Linked DNA regions of Daphnia pulex. Each later gene encodes a partner of the first gene's protein in a complex. Links are inferred from orthologs where the notes say so. Each region holds a gene or a part of one and is shown on either strand. Other genes may lie near its edges.

Region 1 (6,885 bases):
TACGTGGCCCACCTCTAAAACGCAGGAGGTGGCCTATTTATCACGTGATTCTTGGTGCATTACCGCTGGTCAGTTTTAACCAATGAGAATAGATCACGTGATCGGGGGAACCAATAGAAGCGGGGAACATCTGTCATTTCGTCTGTGTCCGCAAGGTGTCGCGTCAAGCTTGTAGCAATCTAGTTTTTTTACCGCCATGTGGTAAAAGAATGAAAAGTTGTTTTCAGGGATACGCATTCTATTGGCTGTTGCCGGTCACGTGATCTGCTCCCATTGTAAAAACTGACCAGAGCTAAGCTAAAACTGGCAGAGCCAGGGAGTCGAAACTTTAAACGTGAATAACTCGTAAAGTAAATTTTTCCCAGCTATAGTTTGATTGGGAGATATTTTTTATTTATTTTTTCTCTTATTTTTAATATGTTTTATTATTTTTTTTTATTTTTTGCGCCATCCCCTATTCAGACAGCATGGAGCCGGAGGAAACCGTTTACTTTCTAAAATTCTAAAAAATGAAGTAAGTTAACAGTTCATTATAAATTAAAATGTTCTCTTACCTTGCATGTAGCTATATGAGTTGGGGGCTGGCAATAACATATGTTCTTTTCTCTTGAAAGACCATAACCTTTCGGCATCCGATAATGGCTTATGCGGTGGCTACTCAAGCTGAAGATTGACGTAAAGGTCTGAAATTACAAAAAAAATTATAATTGAAATATGTAAGAGTGGATGATTAAATAGTTACCTTCCCACAATAATCACATGCGAGAATGGGTGAGTTGGGACAAACTTCAACGCTGGAACTAGGAATTCTAAAGAATAATCCGTCCCAATGTCGCTATGCCAGTATATAAAAGCTCTCAGTCGCCATCTATGATCAGTTTCATTGACAACGTCATTCGTCATTCTATTTTAAAGTTATCGTGTGGTCCTGTGGGGCATCAGATTTTACAGTCATCTGTCATACTTTACAGTCATCATACTAGTCCATCGGCTTGTCTCTTGAGGCAGGCTAGCTTATCGCCCGAACCAGAAGATGGTGACAAGGATGTCGATGTTGATCTCTATCAAGCCGCTGTTCTGATTTTGGCTCATTTGGATCGATTAGCATCTCCATTTATTCAAACATTCAAATCGGTATACTTTATTTCAATTTAGCAAATTCTTTGCAGATTTATTATTTGTTGTACATTGCCATTTTTTAGGATCGCGTAGTTATGGAAAATACTTTAATTCGATTGGATTTGAGCGCCGCTACGGTGGACCCGGGTGGACCGTTTCACAGTAGTCCAGAAACTTCCAATAACGATAGATCAAGTTGTCTGCACAGCCCTTGGTCTCCTGTTTCTTTCCGGCGATGGCAAAGTGTACACAATCAGCTATAACGATCAAGAACCGGTCAGTTTAGTCTTGCTCAGGATGAATTTTGCTTTTTCATTCGTTAGTTTCAAAGGATTTTGAGTCACGGAGATCAAGTGGGCATTGATGTTGGGCATCACGGCTGCTCCTTACCTGTGTTGCAGCGTTTGAAGAACCACGTTATTGCTCTTGCAGGGGAAATCCAAATCTGGGTGCCGTACAAGATACAGCTCAAGCTTTTCTCCAATTGGCTTGGAGTCTTCTTTTGCCTACTGCTTCAGAAAGAGCTTCAGCATTGCCCACACTTTTGCAAAGAGACGACGAATATGATAGTTGTATGTCCACAGAGAGATGCATTTCATTGGCTTGCCATCATCTAAGTTCATTTCGATTTGTCTTTAAGGTGGTGGACGTTTCATGGCCGATTTATTGGTGATTTCCATGATGGCGGACGGAGGGTTACAAGCAGCTTTCGAAGCTTCGTTGCTAGGTAAACCAGATAAGACCAATTTTATTTGAGTAATTTTTATTGCATGTTTTCTATCAAAATTTTCAGCTGAAGCAAATGATCTTGAGATAAACGGCCGATGCAATAACGACGCGGTATTGAGAATAGGGGATGGCGCAAAAAAATAAAAAAAATAATAAAACATACTATAAATAAGAGAAAAAAAAAATATCTCCCAATCATACTATAGCTGGGAAAAATTTACTTTTCGAGTTATTCACGTTGAAAGTTTCGACTACGTGGCCCACCTCTAAAACGCAGGAGGTGGCCTATTTATCACGTGATTCTTGGTGCATTACCGCTGGTCAGTTTTAACCAATGAGAATAGATCACGTGATCGGGGGAACCAATAGAAGCGGGGAACATCTGTCATTTCGTCTGTGTCCGCAAGGTGTCGCGTCAAGCTTGTAGCAATCTAGTTTTTTTACCGCCATGTGGTAAAAGAATGAAAAGTTGTTTTCAGGGATACGCATTCTATTGGCTGTTGCCGGTCACGTGATCTGCTCCCATTGTAAAAACTGACCAGAGCTAAGCTAAAACTGGCAGAGCCAGGGAGTCGAAACTTTAAACGTGAATAACTCGTAAAGTAAATTTTTCCCAGCTATAGTTTGATTGGGAGATATTTTTTATTTATTTTTTCTCTTATTTTTAATATGTTTTATTATTTTTTTAATTTTTTGCGCCATCCCCTATTCAGACAGCATGGAGCCGGAGGAAACCGTTTACTTTCTAAAATTCTAAAAAATGAAGTAAGTTAACAGTTCATTATAAATTAAAATGTTCTCTTACCTTGCATGTAGCTATATGAGTTGGGGGCTGGCAATAACATATGTTCTTTTCTCTTGAAAGACCATAACCTTTCGGCATCCGATAATGGCTTATGCGGTGGCTACTCAAGCTGAAGATTGACGTAAAGGTCTGAAATTACAAAAAAAATTATAATTGAAATATGTAAGAGTGGATGATTAAATAGTTACCTTCCCACAATAATCACATGCGAGAATGGGTGAGTTGGGACAAACTTCAACGCTGGAACTAGGAATTTGACCCAATACTCCCTCAGCCTGATTGTCCTGAAATTTAAAACATGAACATGAATTAGAAAATCATACCCCAGGTAAAAGCATTGTGGATTGCAGATTGCAGGACTTCTTTCCCCTCGATCAACAATGCTATTCACCTAGGGAAGATTGCTGTTGGCAGCTGAGGGTTGGTGGGTGGCTCGACTTCCATGATTTAGAAGGAACTGTGTATATAAATCAAAGTTTACCAAACTTACCTCTAGCGTAGTCTTCTTCAGTTTTTTTACACACATAGACAGGTTCTTTAGTCGCCTGTTAAGCTTCAGGCTGGCCATGGTAGTTCCAATTTTCTTCAACTTCTGGATTTCTTTTGCTAAAGGTAAGTTTGAATGAGGTTAAGAATGAGTTATTACTTTAAAAAATAATGTTACTTACCATCTTTGTTTAGTTTATCCACCCTTTTCTCTATCTCGCCTAAATCCTGGGTAAAATTTGATTCCAGTATTTGGATTGGTATTGGTATTGGTAGGATTAGGTGCGTCTGCTATGTTTAGCAGACATCTGGTCTTCAACTAGATGACCTTCTTGCACCGACGAGATATTTTTTCTATTGATTTTTTTGAGCGATGGCGTGAGCAGTGTAAGTGTTGTATTGTATTGTGTGGAAGGAGCCCCAAGAAGGGGGATGGAAGTACCATCATTGTGTACGATTTGGCGCTAGTGCCTGCCTTTTTAGGAAGAGATCTGTATTGTATGTGTAGTGGTAGTGCCCGGGTATGGGAGCAACTATGCTCACCGGGAGAGTCGAACTCAGGTCTCAAGGTGCTCCCCGATCACCAAGCGACGCCTTATCCAGCTCACCTACCCGCCCCCCCCCCCCCCCAGTATTTGGATATCCATGTCAATTCAGAGTTCAGACGTCAAAAACAAACACTTAAGGAAAAAGGATTGTTTATCGATATTTAACTTTAAATCGATATCCATTGTTTATTTATAATATTTAATTACTTTATGTTATGGAAATTTTTTACAATTCTATTTAAATTATTACACACATTTATTAATTTAAATAAAAATTGTCATAAATTTCCATAAAATGAAGTAAGTAAACAATATATATCGATCCAAGTTAGTATCGATACCGAGACAGACCGATTTTAAAGTTATCGTGTGGTCCTTTGGGGCATCAGATTTTACGTTTCAAAATGGCGCTGTCGAAATCATCAAACACTTATGGACGTACAAGTTGGGAAGATTCGGTAATATTATACTATTTTGATAGTTTAAAATTGAGACTGATACTAACCAGTGAATTAATTTAATATAATTTAGGAGTTTCCAATTCTCTGCCCAACATGTCTAGGAGACAACCCTTACGTTCGAATGGTGAATGAAACTTAACTTAAAAATGCATACGTTAACTATGTTTTTCGTAATTCTTATTCGTAATTCGGTTCCCCTAATTTTTTTTAGATGAAGGAAAAATTTGGCAGTGAATGTAAGATTTGTGTCAGACCTTTCACAACCTTCAGATGGTGCCCTGGTGCCCGTATGCGCTTCAAGAAAACAGAAATTTGTCAGACTTGTGCAAAACTTAAAAATGTCTGCCAGACTTGCTTATTAGATCTTGAATATGGACTTCCCATTCAAGTCAGAGACCAAGCACTTAACATTAAAGACAATATTGCAAAATCTGATGTGAACAAAGAATATTTTATTCAAAATGCTGAGAAACAAGTAAGTTGAATGCTGCTTTGAAATGAATTTTTTACATTCATGCATTTTTATTGTTGACAGCTTTCTGCAACAGATCATGGTGTACCTGGAGCTGCTGGTGGTCCAGGAAAATCTCATCCTCCATCAGATCTTCTGATGAAATTGGCACGCACAGCACCATATTATCGTAGGAACTTGCCACACATTTGTTCTTTCTGGGTGAAAGGTGAATGCAAAAGAGGAGAAGAATGTCCTTACCGTCATGAAAAACCCACTGATCCAGATGATCCATTGGCTGATCAGAACATTAAAGATCGTTATTATGGCACCAATGATCCAGTGGCAGAAAAGCTCATGCGTCGGGCTGCCACTCTTCCTCGTTTGGATGCTCCTGAAGATAAGTCCATTACCACTTTGTATGTGGGTAACATTGGAGAGAAGATGTTGGAAAAAGAACTACGAGATCATTTTTATCAGTACGGTGAAATTCGATCCATCACTATCGTTTCACGACAGCAATGTGCTTTTGTAACATACGTCACCCGCTCAGCTGCAGAATTGGCTGCCGAAGGAACCTTTAACAAACTAATTATTCAGGTACGGACCTTTTACTTTCTGGTTTCAATTCCCCAAAACTTATTCAAATTATTTGAAAATTTAGAATCGGCGGCTTGTTATTCGTTGGGGTAAATCTCAAGGCAAACAGAATGTTCCTGGAACAACAAATACTGAAGCTGGAGCTCGTTTTGAACCTGTTCCGGGTCTTCCCCGAGCTTTGCCACATCCTGAAGAATTGGAGCATAACTTTTTCAATTTAGCTCCTACAAGCAATGCATACCCATCTCCTTATCCTCAATATCCACCATCCACATATCCATTGATCGCTCCACCACCACCAAACCCCACACCAAATCAGGCGGAACTTCCAGTATTTCTTGCCGAAAGTCAGCAGGGCATCCATTACCCTTCTCAGGATCCGACTCGTCTTGGCGCGATTAATAAGACACGACAAACATAACGACAGAAATTTTCAGAATTACGATATGCTTGTCTGTAATTTTTGTATTTCCGTTTTTGAAATTTAAACTCTCACGATAAAATGTCCTGTAATTTATTTTATTTAATATCTATAAGTTTTTTTGCATATAAGGTTTTGCGCTATAAATTGGCTGTTTTTGATGTGAAGTGCTGAATGATTTTTTCAGCCGACGATACACAACCATCGAAGTTCGAATGAGTAAATCCATCCCCACCAACTAGCAGAAGAGGTTCCTGGGAGATCTCAAGTACACCCGGCTGATCTTCATACGGTTTCGTTACCTTAAAAGCAAATAAAATAAAAAGGTAAAATTTGCAAGCACACAGAAATGAAAAAGGGTTAGTGAGAACCTGGGAGTATCTCCATTTATGGCATTTAAATGCCTTTGGTGAAGGTAGATCGGGGAAAGATCGTTTTAAAGCCTTAATCAAAATGTAAAATTCAAAATATAATCTCGGACATTTTAAAACAAAATGTTATAATGCATAATTTACCTCTTTTAGAATAGGTTCCGCTTCTGGGACGGTTAGATCAATATGTTGTACACCGAAGGGGACAGATGTGTGAAGAATCACAGATGTTGGGACGTCAGCTGGATTAACAATATGAGTTGGTAACGTTCGATTCATTCGGCTTGATTAAAATAAAACTTACGCCGATTTCTTCTTAAATTGTCGACTGCGATGAATCGAAATACAGGATCATCTTTTATGTAGGAGGCATCGAATGGTAAATTCAGTTCAGTGCCGTGATCATAATACAAGCTCATTACATAACGTGCACTGTACTTGACATTTTCCAATTTTGTCTTCATTTCATGGTTATTTTCTACAAATTAAAAAGTAAGATTACAGATAACTAAACTATATAAGTTATAGAAAAGATGAACGTTTACCAAGAATGTCTTTTACACTACCCCCCAATTGCAGAATTTGAGGGACAGGAATTGTTAAAATAACCACATCAAAATAGTTTTGCTTTCCTTGAAGAGTTGAAACACACCTAATAATAAAAAGGGATATAGCCAATATATAATTGAATTCTACTGTTTCTACATTTGTTTGCTATGAAATACCATTTCTCATTTATTCTAGTCACACTAGTAATATGGTGTTCAAACTCTGGTTCACACTCGTATTTATTAAGAAAATATTTGACAAGGGAGCTCATTCCATTTGGAGAGATGTAATGCTTGGTTCCTGCTTCATGTTCATGACAATTGTTGATGTTTAATTTGAGTGGCT
Region 2 (6,297 bases), on another chromosome or scaffold:
CACTACATACGATACCTTGCTATCAGGACGAAGACAAGGAATGTATTGTAGACTTGACGTATAAAACACCATCTGACAAAACATTGAAGACAGCGCCACAAACGGCGAGAATTAGCATTTCCATGACATTTACATTTAATAGCTAATTATTAAGATAAATTAAACACATTTCAGCCTGCAGAAGGTTTATTCAGATGTCACAGAAAAAACGTCATACAGGCACAGGTTCAATGATGTCACTCATTCCTTCTTATTTTTCTTCCCCTTTGCTTTCTTGGCTTTCGATCCCTTATCAGCAGCTGATTCGGGAACAGAAGCTTCTTCTAATGGGATAGCTTCAACGGGAGCAGCAAGAACCTTTTCCAACGGCTTCACTTCCGGGACAGCAATCGGTGTTGGGGCAGGAACGACTGGTGGCGATTTTCCTTTTACAGGAGTAGCGACTGGTGTTACCACCTTAACTACAGGTTCAGGGATGGTAACGATTGGCGGAGATGGTTCCTTAGCTGGAGCTAGGGCAGTCTTCACCTCAACAACGGACGCGGGTGTTACATCCATCGGTTCTACTTGCAAATCCTTTGCAGCCGTCTTGGATTTCTTGCTTTTCTTTGTTTCTGGTGGTGTTGGCTTAGGGGTTTCAACAGGAGGAGGTTGAGTTGGTTTGACATCTTGGACCGGTGCTTGAACGGGCGCTTCTTCTTTCGGCTTTTCAACAGGTAAATTTGGTACGGGTACTACTGACTGTAGAATGGATATACAAATTAGAACTTGGACTATTTTCCAAATCAGATTCTCACTACGATGGACAACTCACCAAAAACATCTGTTGATTAGCTCAATAAACCATGCTGTGTGCGCTCACTCGCAGGCTAGGCAGCTACCTTCTTGGTAGCACTCGCCTGTACATGTTAAACAATGTGGCATGCATTAAGTTACGTTCACATGCGGTAATACAATTTTAACAATTCAAACAGAAATCAAACGAAAAACTATCTAAGACATACAAACATTCACAGAAAACAAAATTACCTCGCGCTTCTTCTCGAGCAAAGCAGTCTTGCTCTTCTTCCGGGCCTCAGCAACAGCAGCGGCAGACTTCTTAATCACGGCGGAGTACGGGTTCAACTTCATCAATGCTCTCATGTTGGTAAGAGGATTGCGCTTAACAGATGCACGACGGATCATCTTCCTGTAATTTAAATTGTATCGATTAGTCATCTTTGCACCAGACAGTATCACTTGAATGATAAACTGCGTTCAGATTAATTTGCTAATCACAAAGATTCATAACCCAATGCTCTAAATGTGGTTTTCATCATTAATTAATCAATAATAAAGATTAAAAAGAAAGCTTGCCTTGGTCGTCTGATAACCTTCTGGATTTCATCAGACTTCAACAAACGAGACAAATCTGTTCCGGTCATGATGGGCTGAGGCAAGTTGTAGTTGCTCTTCAGCTTAGACTTCTGACGCCAAGTACCGTAGAGGGCGTTCAAGCGTTGGAAAGCAGACTCGGTCCAGATGCAGAAACGGCCAACATGACCACCAGGAGCAAGCTTCATGAGGTTCAGTTTGTTTACTGAAATCATAGAAACTCCGGGGATGTTACGGAAAGCCTTGGTCAAACCCTGATCTCTGCCATAGATGACCAGTGGACCCAATTTGCTGGTACGGCGACGGTTGCGCATCTTACCCTTACCTGCGCGGAAACGCCTGGTCTTGTAAACCTGTAAGAAATCAGATTAATTAGACGGTGTTCACACATAAAATCATTCATGACTCAGATTTTGTTCAGAGCTCTAAGGTGAAATCATTTACTCATAAACACAGACCAAGAAGCAACTCATCATTTTCCCGTGATAATTATACATAAATATCTAGAAACAAACCTTCTGGACATCAGTCCATGCGCGAAGACGGCGCAACAACACGACGGCCTGTTTGGTTTTTTTGTATTCTTGAACCTTGTCCGACACAACCAAAGGCATCTCCGGGACATCATTGATCAAGTGACCTGAATGTAAAAACATTTTAGTTCTAATTCAATATGACCTTATTTACTACTATCATTGTATGGATCAGGGACTCATGGTATGACTTCATGCTTGTCAGAAACACAGGAAACACATATTCATCATGCTAGTATGGAACCGTGCAATGATGATCTTGGCTCATATTTACCTTTGGACATCACCAAAGACGGAATACCCGAAGCAGCGACGGCCGAGCACAATGCAAAACGTTTCTGGTTAACGTTGATCTTGCGATGCCAACGGCGCCAGATCTTGGTGGGGGCAAACATACGTCCACCACGACACATGTTACCATAGGCACCCTGACCGGAGCGATGGGTACCACCTCCTCGGACACGGGGAATACGAGCCACAGCACGACCAGTACCCCATGATTCAGCACTTGTCTGATGACCTGTAATAGGAAAGAAGAAGATTAACAATCACACCATTACATGTGTGTATGAAGTTTGTCCGGTTGCCCAACCCCTCACTTTAAGAAAACAAAGCGAGAAAGGCCTCAGGGACTCGCTTTAGTGTTGCACACTGCACAAGAAGAGTCTGACGTACAATTACTCCTACATTTCAATGCTGTGTGCCATATAATTGGCATACAAGTTACCTGCTTTCTCGCTGACACAATAAGGGTGACGACGATTCATTGACATTTGTTGTTGAACAAAGCTGACAATGTCTGGCCTAATGGGAGCCCTGAAGATTGCAGGGAGCTGGATGCTGGTTCCAGAGGCCTCAGCCTTCTCATTGTAAACGGTAATCAACGGCCTCGCGACCACCTTACTCTGTAAAACAAAATGGATAAACAAATTAGATTTAAGATTTTCAAGAGACAACACTTGAATTTACACAAACTTTGAACTAGATGTACCAATTAACCAAAACATAACAATAAACCAAGAACGACGTTGAATTAACATAGAAAAACAGCAAGAGCCCATTTGACACGAGGACGAAACCACGCTGTGGGTAACATTTTACTCCCAAACTTTCGCCATAGATTAACAAGAAAATGGCTTAGAAAAATATACGCACGCAAGAATTTTCTTAAAACACGTTTCTCCCGTTAACCTTTTTACTTACTATTCGTAAATTAATGTATGTAAAAACTAGTAAAATGTTTGGAGAACCTCATGCTTACCATCTTGGTAGATAGTCCTGACCGGGTAAAAAGGCGAATGAAAGAGACCCACAGTAATGGCGACAAAGAGGAAGTCTACAATGTTGCCGGCATACTTTGAGAATTGCCGCCCTCTACGTTCCGTTTTTTACTTGATTATTTACTTGAAAAATTACAGATTATTCACTGAACTGATCCACTGTTTAATAACAAAAATTATGGAGTTTCAATTGATGATTTCAAACATTTTAATGGAGTGATTAGTTATAAAATTTTTAATATTGTTTTATTTGTTTCACAATGCAACGGTGTCCAAAATATTATTGAATAAAATTTAATATACCAATTTATTTTCATATTTTATTCATTTAAAGGAAGTTAATGATCTTTATTCATTATCAAAAAGTAAGTTTATGAATAATTAGACATAATGAAAATCAATTACTAAAACTGTGGCTCATATTTATTAATCCAGCAGAAAATCTGACAATCTTGCTGACAACAGACAGTTTGACACAAATCACAAAATGCCGATTCCGTCAACAAACATTTCCACGCCGAACGAAAGGATTTTGGTTGACGATTTACCATACGTTGACCAAGAATATGGAGATCCAACTCTACGAGAAGCGGTAAGCAAAACTTATACATTGCAAACTTTGAAATATTTGAATCGCTTCGAATTGAGGCTTGGAGATTCTTGTGTTAGCCTAGTCATCTCTAACATCAATACATTATTGTACTAGACCATAGTACTGTATGTTGCTGAGAACTCTCGCTCTTGTCCAATAGTTGTTTAATGAGAGTAATTTCTTTCTATCAGGCACTTGCATTGGTTGATGAAGAGACACGAAGATATAGACCAACCAAAAACTACCTAGAACATCTTCCTCCACTTGAGCTGTCAGCATTTGAAGTAAGAACTGTCTGCATGGAAGTAATGATAGGAGTGTGTAATAATTATGGAAATTATCATGTTCATAGACTCCTTTGATGAAGACTGAATTTGAGCGACTGTCTCAAAAGAAACCAATGGATGTTTTGAGCATGAAACGATATGAACTCCCACCCCCATCTGCTGGTCGTCTAAATGATCTTCAAGCATGGATAGAGTGTGTTGATAATTCAATGGCTCAATTAGAACATCAAACAACAAGGTTTGTTTTCTAAAAAAAAATTTTACAGCAACCATAAATTTAAAAAAATTTCAATTAAAAAACAGGATTTTGAACTTGGAATTAATGTCAGAGTATGGTTGTGAATCATGGAGAATTTATAACACTGTATTGTCCCAGATGATCCAACAATCTCAGAAGCATCTTCAGGAATTTAAGTATGATTTCAGTAAAGTAGACACCATATTGCAAAATACACTATTATATTTTTCTTTACAGGAAACAAATCCAAGATGTCAATTGGGCTAGAAAAAAAGATCAGACAGAGGTTGGAGACAAAATGAAACATTTGGAAGCCACTTGGTTTGGTTTGATCACTAAAAACTACGAAATCGAACTCGCGTGTGCTGAAATTGAGAGACAGTTAGCTTCACTTAATGAATGAAATTCAATGTAAACCTACTTTATCGAATTCGGATAATACACTGCAACAGGAAATTGATTCATCCGAGATTTTCAGTAAGTGACAACCAAAAAGATTTGGTTGTAAGGGAACAAAACAAAAAAATAGTATAAAGTCATGCACTTTCAGATTAGCTTGTCTTATAAATGGTAAGTAGCACGTTCTGATTTTATATATCACACAATTGAAAACGAGAAGAAGCGTATGAGTACAGCAAAGCGTAATTCAGAGAAGGGTAAAAAAAAGGGTAAGATCATAGGGAAGTCTCACTTGGGGCTGAACTTAAAGGTAAAGGGCGGACGGAAGACTCATCTTCCAGCACCATAACTCGTTGCTTTAGGACGCGAACCTGATAATCACATGACATTTTTATGTCGGTCACACTTGATAACTCGTAATTTTTCTCTATATACCTGCATTGCATGTCTTTCCGACATGTTGACCATTTGCTGCTCTAGTCTTTTTAATCGAGATTGGTACTTTTTCTTAGTCCTCTCAAGAAGTTGGACCAACGTCCTGAAAATTAGTTTACGGATATTACATATTTGTTGAAAACGTAACATATTGTAAGTTAAGCATTTAAAGATATCTTACGCGTTGGCTTTCTTGACATCGCTAACTAGTTCAGCCGACTGCTGACTACGGATTTCTGCACTTGAAGTGACGCGTTCAAGGGCTCCCGTCAACTCTTGGATTTTCAATTGGAGTCGCTTTTCTCGAACTGTTAATTCGTCTCCATCAGCTCCTTCAATTGAGGACAGAGGCTTTTCGCCTGATGCATCTGTGTTAGATCCCTATCAGTGAAAAGTGCGTTTAAGTAACCTAAATCATTCTCCATTTCAATATCCAAAAAACCTACGCCTGTGTTAAGACTTCGAAGTTGAGCGGCAGTTGCTTGTTGTTGGGCTTCATGAGTAGCCCGCTCTTTTTCAAGAATATAAACCTGAGTTCGAAGTCGTGAACGTTCTTCTCTCATGGCCATCAATTCCTAGAGAAACGATAGGATTAAATCTATTTTTACTCATTTATACAAAAGCAGATGTTCACCTGCATGATGACGGCCATCTCTAGATCAATTTTCCGAGCTTCAGCCAAAGGTAAGACTTCTTTAGGCAAAGGATCAACCAAAACTGACTCCAGGGGAAGCGAAACTTGTTGAACTGTGTTTTCCAAGCTTGATCTATCACCTACAAAAGATAATGAGAAAATGATTAAGTAATTTGCTTAAGTAAGCCTGGGCACAAAATATGTTACCTTTCAACCGGCCGATTATATCTCGTACTTTCCTTTCTGTGGGCTCCAGAGTACAAGCTGGATTGGATCCCGATCCTGAACCACTCTCCGCTCCACTTGAGGTAGAGCTTGTTGTACTACAAGATAGACGAGAAACAAATGGAATAAGAAAATTATAAGTCCTGAAGACCGACAATTTTTTTATTTTTTGAAGTACTTTGTGTGTCTTCCCGTGTCCTCCCAATTGTCTCGTTCACGATCGTATTTTGACAAGAGGGATCGAGCAAGATTCTCAGCCGAACGCCTGCGCTCTGTAGCGCGTTTCCAAAGCACACTAAG

The links.
Region 2: pre-mRNA-splicing factor RBM22-like (region 1) and pre-mRNA-splicing factor SPF27-like share a complex: the UniProt entries of both Homo sapiens proteins name them as parts of the postcatalytic spliceosome P complex. The link is inferred for Daphnia pulex from reciprocal best matches to the Homo sapiens genes RBM22 and BCAS2.

The regions. Positions count from the first base shown.
Region 1 is NC_060024.1:7,161,336-7,168,220, forward strand, and holds pre-mRNA-splicing factor RBM22-like, read left to right. Parts: upstream 1-3,221; 5' UTR 3,222-3,265; intron 3,266-3,321; exon of another isoform or gene 3,322-3,341; intron 3,342-3,997; exon of another isoform or gene 3,998-4,015; 5' UTR 4,016-4,091; coding exon 4,092-4,145; intron 4,146-4,218; coding exon 4,219-4,272; intron 4,273-4,359; coding exon 4,360-4,623; intron 4,624-4,683; coding exon 4,684-5,199; intron 5,200-5,263; coding exon 5,264-5,620; 3' UTR 5,621-5,702; downstream 5,703-6,885. Other genes in the region: uncharacterized protein LOC124200919, read left to right, coding at 838-1,134, 1,203-1,364, 1,443-1,691, 1,760-1,792; uncharacterized protein LOC124200920, read right to left, coding at 1,816-1,842, 2,654-2,782, 2,842-2,937, 3,144-3,221; renalase-like, read right to left, coding at 5,761-5,922, 5,992-6,063, 6,136-6,233, 6,296-6,469, 6,537-6,643, 6,717-6,885. UniProt on the Homo sapiens protein: Required for pre-mRNA splicing as component of the activated spliceosome. Involved in the first step of pre-mRNA splicing.
Region 2 is NC_060018.1:4,113,075-4,119,371, reverse strand, and holds pre-mRNA-splicing factor SPF27-like, read left to right. Parts: upstream 1-3,491; 5' UTR 3,492-3,552; intron 3,553-3,622; 5' UTR 3,623-3,674; coding exon 3,675-3,779; intron 3,780-3,970; coding exon 3,971-4,063; intron 4,064-4,131; coding exon 4,132-4,304; intron 4,305-4,369; coding exon 4,370-4,480; intron 4,481-4,541; coding exon 4,542-4,707; 3' UTR 4,708-4,764; downstream 4,765-6,297. Other genes in the region: uncharacterized protein LOC124189006, read right to left, coding at 241-741, 1,030-1,189, 1,357-1,727, 1,890-2,014, 2,182-2,427, 2,635-2,812, 3,736-3,767, 4,996-5,074 and 6 more. UniProt on the Homo sapiens protein: Required for pre-mRNA splicing as component of the activated spliceosome. Component of the PRP19-CDC5L complex that forms an integral part of the spliceosome and is required for activating pre-mRNA splicing.